Linked DNA regions of Astyanax mexicanus. Each later gene encodes a partner of the first gene's protein in a complex. Links are inferred from orthologs where the notes say so. Each region holds a gene or a part of one and is shown on either strand. Other genes may lie near its edges.

Region 1 (3,926 bases):
ACTATCAAAGAAATTACATGAACATATTATGTTCTTACTTGAAATTAAGAATAAGCATCATCACATTGTTAATCTTTTAATTTTGTAGTTTTTAGTTTCATGTTTGATCTTCTATTATTCCATGATTTGAAGTGTAAAAGTGTAAATAATCAGTTTATAACAACCTATGACCTGTTTCGAAAGATTTATAAAAAATCTGTCTGTACAGAATGTATTGCAAAGAATGTTGCACTGCATCAATGTGACCTCTAGGTGGCAGACATAGCCAAAATAAGAAAATGGTTCATAAGCTGAATTACTGTCTACCATTCAATGGAACATTAATTAGCAGGTTAAACAAGCATTCTATAACTTCACACTGCCCTTTCTACATGACCCTTCAAAGAGTCCTACCTCCCTCCCTTTATTTAGGGACACACACACATTCACTCACTCACGTACGTCCTTTGCTATGACCTGTAATTCAAGTTCTAATAGTTCTTGAAATCTGATTCTACTACAATACAATATAGAACACTTTATGGAAAACTACTCACAGTGTGACTCAGTTCAGGTTGAAAGAGCCTGTTACAATCAATACTACTTTACATCATCATCATCATCATCATAATAGTAATAATAGATCTTTACACAAAACAAACACATATCATTACTAGTTTCATTGTGGGCAAACTGTAAATGGGCCACTGCTTTTGCAGACACCCTTGAGGACTCATTATACACAGTGCACGGGGAGGTGAGTTGGTTTCATTCCTTGAAATCATTTTAGTCCTTCTCTAATTTAGTCAGTAATATACAATAATGCATCTAAATAATAGATTTACATTTCATTGCATCACATAACATAGTCCAACATAATAAAATTTCCCAGTCAGGGATTTAGTTTAGACTTCCATTAATTTATTTTCCATTAAAAGAAAAATGCTGTCTACAACTGGAATTAATCCATGTTCGGAGAACTGCCCTTGGTTTTCTTCCATTATCATCATTGGATTGATGCCATTGGGAAATCGTTTAGGTTACCAACAGAACATTCCAGTGCATTATTATTTAAGAAAAGTCTAGTTTAGATGATATAGAAGTTATTTTGTGTGAGTGTGAAGAATCTTCATGTTTCATGTTAATGAATGGAACCTCCACATACACCATAAGTACTGCATTATTATCCTTTATATATAACTCTTGCTGTAAAATCACCGTACTAAGAAGAACAGAAAATGTATTTATCGTCTGTAACCTAGACTTTTGTTACATTTTAAATATGGATTATACAGATTATTATTCTATGATTACATCAAATACCTAAACAACTATCTGCCCTAAGATATTCTGAATTTATAACAAGTGTATGTCTGGAACAGCTGTCAGTCAATAGATTTTAAAAGATTTTAAAGTTTTAAAGTTGCACTACGTTCACTTTACCAGGCACATTTCAGATATTCTCTTTCAAACATACTATCATTTTATAAGTAGAAACATTTAATTAACAAAAAAGCATAGTGTATAGATCAATAGCAATGACAAAATGTAAATAACTGCAATCACAATGAACATTTTGAGAAATTAAATAACCCTTGTTATGTTTGTATGTCTTTTGGTTACTTCTACAAGTGTGTAACAAAATAGTCTATCCAGTGTCAGTTAAAGCAATGTTTAGTCTATGTTAGTAAAAATTATTCATTTAAATCACACGCACTCTAAAATTCAGTCATAGACATAGCACCTGTTCAGGCACATCAAATTAGACTCTGTATCATCACAATACAGTGATGATCCATCAGTGATGCAAAACTCTTCAGAAGTCAAGGAAAGATTCCAGATGATGCTTACCTAGTTTACAAAGCCAGCAGACCAGAACCCACAGGGCCACCAAATAAGGAGTTTCTATGTGGTGCCATTTCCAAGTGACGATGGGTAGAGTTGTGAGGGTAGTAGAAGTGTTGGTAGTGGCCGTTTCAGACTCTGTGGCCGTTGATGAGCTTGAACCACTGCTGTTGGCACGACACAGCGTGCCGAAGACCGACAGGATCGTGAGGAGCAGGCTGAGCCGTGGTAAAAGTACCATGTTGCGAAGATTTTTCAAATAAAGTTAAATAAAGTCTCTTTTAGCTTCGATCCTTTCTTTCTCTAGCTGTCACTTGCTGCCAGAAACCACCAGCATTTAATTGTCCTTTCTGACCTTGTAATTCTTTACTTTGTCAAACTATCTGCCAATTTTCTGCCATGTCAGATGATTTCTTCATACTTCTACCCACTTTTCTTCTGTAATCACTTAAAGTTTCAGCCAGAATGTGGCATGTATATAGCATCTATGGCTGTCCCTCCTTTAGGCATTGCTCCTCCTTGTGCCCAATAGCGGCTCAGGTGAGGATAGGACTTACCTGAAGGCACCGCCCTTTTCATGCTCACCTGTGGCTCTGCAGGTGCAGCTAGAGAAGCATTAACTCAACTCCGGCATGAACTGAACTTAGACCAGTGGCTGTATAGAGAGAATATATATTTAAGATAGTTTAGTTCAAAGGTTTTTAAGTTATTTTAATATATCTTTATCTTAATCAATATTGTGCAGTATAGCTACATTAAGATTGTACAGTTTTCTCTTTAAATTACAATACAGAAAGGGATTTTTAACACCATACACTGTTGTATATGAGCCAGACCAGATTCTGTAATAAACAGTAGTACATTAAACACATTTTATATTGATTTTATATCATATAAACTGCATTACAGCCTGGTCTGGATGAAAAGTGCACGATCACGCTTAACCTCAGACACTGCACAGGTTGAATTAGTCTGAAGAGAGGAAAACCTGCAATTACTGTTAAAGGAAGGAATGAAGAATACAGAGTGTAGCCTATGTAAAATACTATCATATGCAAATATTCTGGCACTCATAGACACATGGAATATGCATTTTTATTGTATATTTCTTAGGGGGAAATAAGTACAATCCTGAAATACTATAAAGAACACTTTTTTATATATTTTAATGTATAAATTCAGTTTTACATAACTTTACTAGGAAAATGCCCATCAAGTTGCAGCATATTTTTTTTATATCTACAATTAATCATTAAAAAGGGTACAGTACACCATTTTTTAGTAGATTCTAAAATAAAATTAACGAGAAAATGATGAAATCATTGTCTGTGAACTCCATGTAACCCAGAAATACAAAGAATAAGCAATATGTCATCACAATCCAGATACAAAGCATAATTTAAACACCATGTTCTTTGGTCAGATTAATCAAAATATGAAGTTCTTTTTGAAAACCACTGACATTATGTCCTGCATACTCAAGAAAAGAGGGACTATTCAGGCTGGTATCAGTGCACAGTTTATATACCTGTGTCTCTGATGGTATTGGATTGCCTAAGGCATTGGCAGCTTCCACAAATAAAAAAGGTAAACAATATGCAGAAGTTTAAGAACAATATATGCTCTCATCCACACAATGTCTGTTTCAGAAAAGGCCTTTCATATTTCAGCAAGACAATGCTAATCCACATTCATCACAACAGTGTACTTTCACAGAAAAAATCCTGGGTATTGAACTAGCCTTCCTGCAATCCAGACCTTTCACAAAAAGGCAACAAAAAATCCACCAAAGAGGACCCAGGACTGTTAAGCAGTTGGAATGCTATAACACACAAGAATGGGATAAAATTTCGCACTCAGAGACACAAGCCTGCCCCCAAATTTGTGGCTGCCTTCAGCTTCTAAATGAATTCATGTTTTGGTAGAATGTCTTACTTTCACTGACTGATGTGTTGAATGCTCTATTGTGAATAAAATGTCAGTCTATAAGATTTATTTTTTTTATTTATATTAAGTAATTGCATTGTGTTTTTATTTACATTTTGCACAGTGTCCCAACTTTTTGGAATCGGGGTTGTGATTGAGAAAAATATAAAATATAA
Region 2 (3,926 bases), on another chromosome or scaffold:
AACCAAGTACAAAACAGGACAACAAACCCTGGATAGGGAATTTAGCAATGATAAAAACATTATTTCAAACAGGTTTTTGTAATCATGATTTGGTACAAAAGCAATATGCACAAAAGGCTTCATCTTTTGTTGAGCAACGATGAGGTTCTCTAGTTTTAAACAAATGTTTAAAAACAATATTTCTCAAAGGAATACTGGAAGGGATTCACATTTCTCCCTTTACAGTGCATAGTATCATAAACTATTAAAAAATCGGGTGGAATCTTAGTGTGTAAAAGGCAAAGAAGCAAGTCTAGAATACCCGTGATCTTCAACCCCTCAGAAGACACTGCATCAAGAACAGTCATTCAACAATAGCTGATAGAACCCCATCGACAAGGGGTTAATTTAACAGTTGCATTTACAAATACCACTTACAACTTTACTGTGCAAAACAGAAGCCTTGTATGAACCGTGTTCAGAAGTAGCATCGGCTTCTGGGCTTGAAGGCATCTGAGAAGGACCATCGCACAGTGGAAATGAGTATTTGTGGTCATTATTTCAGACCTTTTAAAGTCAGGGTCTGTCATGGCACCAGAGCGTTTCTTAGAGCAACATATGCTGCCTTCAAGATAACTTCTTTTTCAAGGAGGTCCTTGCATTTGACAATGCAAAACCACATGATGCAAACATTAAAAAGCCATGTCTGCAGAAGAAGAGTGTATTGGGCTGCCCTGCAACATGTCCTGTCTTGTTCTCATTAGAGAACTTTAAAAGGGTAAAACACAACAACTGCCATGAACTGTTACGTTCACTAATTATGTGTTTTCTGGAAAAAAGGGACAAAATAACAACTGAAACCTTTTGTTGCCTGGCATGAGTCATAAAATGACACCAGCACATTATCTGCATTTTTCCCCTCAAACAGTACGAACTATGTTATGTCAGAGCTTCCATTAAAAGGTGACAATTAGGGGAAGAACAGCTGACAAACACACTGCATTGGACACTAAGAAGTGGTGCAACAAAACCACAGACATGCAAGCAGTGTGTGAAGGCTACTGTTTAACAGAGAAGCTGTGTTACGCCACATTCAGCTTGGTTAATATTTTTGAGGAAAACAGCAAGAAACAAGGACAGTTCAGAAATATGAGATCAAAAAGAGCAACATAGCTCCAGCATCTGTGATATTCTACTGTATAACTGCAAAACTGCAGGTAAACACCACACTCCAGTAAAGTTTTTTGTACAAAGCTCGTAAAGTATAATTTTCTTTTATTTCATATTTTGCTTTCTGAAAAGAATATGTGCCCTAATCATCAGTGACCCCATCCTTCCCTCCATCTCCGTAAATGTTTAAAAAAAAAAAACATCAACACAAAGCACAAACTACACAAAATGTGGCTGCTGTCTCAGGAATGGTCACACACTGAAGTATTGGGCCTCATCGGGCTCATTCGTGCTTGGACCACGGAGTTGCTGCATAACTTTTATTTTTTAATATAAATAACTATTATTTACTATTATTATAAATCATTCCCTCAATTCAATAAATCATAGTTTAATGACCAGGTCTTTTGCTACCTCAGATTTATTACACTTATTACACATCTGGGTCAGTGTAACGTTTAGCACTTTAATTTTCTGACCATATCTAAATTCGAAAATAGAAAATTGGTATAAAACTTATTATTTTTTCCATTTAGTAAGGCAGAAATTTTTTTAATTATTTAGTTTTTCCTTTTCTGCCCTTTTTTAAGAAAAATGAAAAAGGTTAAATCTTATCTCGATTTTCACATTTGTCCATTTTTGTATCTTATAACACAAATTTGATGGTATAATCCAACTTGGAATCGCTGTTTGCGGCTTTATAATTTGTTCCCCCAGTTCAATAAATCATTCTCTTAGTTACAAAATGTATCTTAGTTTTTTATGTTCCTTTAGATTAATTATTATTAAAATTATTATTTTATCACAGATATTATTAGAACTTCTAACTAGTGGACAATGACTCTACACTACTTTACTGAGTCCCCTCAGGGTACAGTTGGCTAACTAACATGCTAACCGAAGTAACATAAGTAACAGTCTCAGTTCTAACAACGTTTAAATAAATACTCACAGCCAGTCTCCTTCTTAATCTCCTCTATATCCTCCTCTCTCAGTAATGAAGACGCTCTGGAGCCCATGGTTCTCCGCCCGCGGTCAGTTCAGCTGAAACCCCCGCTCCGCTCCGGCTCCGCTGCTGCTCGCTAGCCGAGTAAGCTAACGGTCACTCAGACAGAGGCTTAGCCTGCTTAGCGCTTAGCCTGCGAGCTAACTACCACAGCCAGCCGATTTCCGCAGCGTGTTTACCCTCAGCGCGGCCCTCACACACCGCTGCAGCTTTCTATAACCTCAGTAACTCCAGTACACTGCCTGTACCGCTGATCTAATACAGACACTCTGAAAACCAGGAGCGCTGGAGCTGCGGTGAACACTCTGGACCTTAAACTCTGCGCGACGTCAGCTAACGTCGACACCCCGTGGGCGTGGCCCGTCAACGCCCCATCTGCGTCACTGCCGTCCTATTAAATTATATTTTAGCCCCCACAGGATTCTTAAAGAATTCACCATTGAATGCACAAATTCTGTGTTTTTTGGCTGAAGTATAATGTCATGAAAAGCTTTAAAAAAATTGTACAACCAATAAAAAATACCACATTTCTAAAACAAAAACTATGATGGATTTGTTTAACAAACAAATGTAAAGAAGAGAATTTGTTTTAGTCTTGCATGTTTTTTTTATTTGTTCATAATAACTAATATGTGTTTATTAAAATAAAGTCAGTTTTATAGCATTAATAAAACGTTTCCCCTAAAACGATTTTTTTCCTTCCAACCCCAACATTTTAACATTTATTATGTAAAAATATATGTATATAGCTTATTCCCTTGTTACTAAAATGCTTATTATTGAAATAGCATTTTTTTATTTAGCAAATTATAACATATTTACTACATGGTATTCTTTTAAGAGACAGTCTATTATTTTGTTTTTTAAGCTAAAATCAGAAGCATTTCTGAGTGGAAAATGGAAAAAAAATATTGTGTTTGATGGAACCAGTGTGCTGCATCGACCATCCCTGCTAAGCCTAATATGTTAATTCTAAAACTGCGGTGTCAGATCACTTTTCGCTGGATTCTTCTGGCCTCGTCAGGCGTCTTTACTTTACACTCACAAAACTGACAGCCGTATATAATAACTCTCTTATATCCTTTGAAGACAATTCCCTTAACTTAATTAAGTTTCTGACTGAGCAAACTCTCTCTCTCTGACTGAACATAACCTGGATTCGGATTCATCCGCTCTGAAAGGAGACCGCATCAATCCGTGTATCATTCGTTCATTTGATATTCAATTGAGAATCAAAATCGGAAAATTAAAAAACCAATTCGTTTTTTCGTTTTTTCGTTTTTGAATATAATACCAAAAAACGAATAACGGCTTGTATTTTGTATTTTTATTTGGTTATCCAAACAAAAATTGGAAATTTAAAAAACGGACCAGGAGCCGAATTTGATTTTGATTTTGAACTTGACCCATTTGTGTGCCCCGGAAGTTACTGATTTGTTTATTCTTGGTGGGTTTCTGTTGCGCGGGAGTTCACTGCAGTGTTATCTACACAGTCTGTATTGCTGTAGGCTTTGGATGGAGTTGAGGATGGAGAGTTTTATCTTGTTCAGAGGAACTAAACGCGTTGCAGTGAAAGAAGACGATATGACAACAGAAAAAATCGGCAGGATCTTTCAGGTGTTTGTCTAACGTTCCGTAGCTAAATGTCATATTTAGTTAATACCTTCAAAAAGATCTTTAATTAGGCCAGAATGTGGTTCCAGTCCGGCCATGCTGCCTACAGCAATACAGACTGTGTAGATAACACTGCAGTGAACTCCCGCGCAACAGA

What was found.
Region 2: the proteins of sodium/hydrogen exchanger 3 (region 1) and chp1 are in contact, whole or in part, in a cryo-EM structure (PDB 7X2U), measured with the Homo sapiens proteins. The link is inferred for Astyanax mexicanus from reciprocal best matches to the Homo sapiens genes SLC9A3 and CHP1. Residues at the interface, in NP_004165.2 of Homo sapiens: Tyr396, Arg397, Met398, Gln400, Glu402, Arg474, Leu475, Asn476, Glu477, Leu479, His480, Gly481, Arg482, Ala483, Phe484, Asp485, His486, Ile487, Leu488, Ser489, Ala490, Ile491, Glu492, Asp493, Ile494, Ser495, Gly496, Gln497, Asn501, Arg504; in NP_009167.1 of Homo sapiens: Arg30, Leu31, Arg34, Leu38, Lys40, Glu49, Phe51, Gln52, Arg53, Ile54, Glu56, Leu57, Ala58, Ile59, Asn60, Pro61, Leu62, Asp64, Ile66, Phe70, Phe83, Leu87, Phe90, Leu115, Phe117, Ala118, Leu121, Tyr122, Leu135, Leu139.

The regions. Positions count from the first base shown.
Region 1 is NC_064410.1:30,485,457-30,489,382, forward strand, and holds the start of sodium/hydrogen exchanger 3, read right to left. Parts: upstream 2,276-3,926; 5' UTR 2,066-2,275; coding exon 1,831-2,065; intron 1-1,830. UniProt on the Homo sapiens protein: Plasma membrane Na(+)/H(+) antiporter. Exchanges intracellular H(+) ions for extracellular Na(+) in 1:1 stoichiometry, playing a key role in salt and fluid absorption and pH homeostasis.
Region 2 is NC_064414.1:59,255-63,180, reverse strand, and holds the start of chp1 (calcineurin B homologous protein 1), read right to left. Parts: upstream 2,484-3,926; 5' UTR 2,169-2,483; coding exon 2,102-2,168; intron 1-2,101. UniProt on the Homo sapiens protein: Calcium-binding protein involved in different processes such as regulation of vesicular trafficking, plasma membrane Na(+)/H(+) exchanger and gene transcription. Involved in the constitutive exocytic membrane traffic.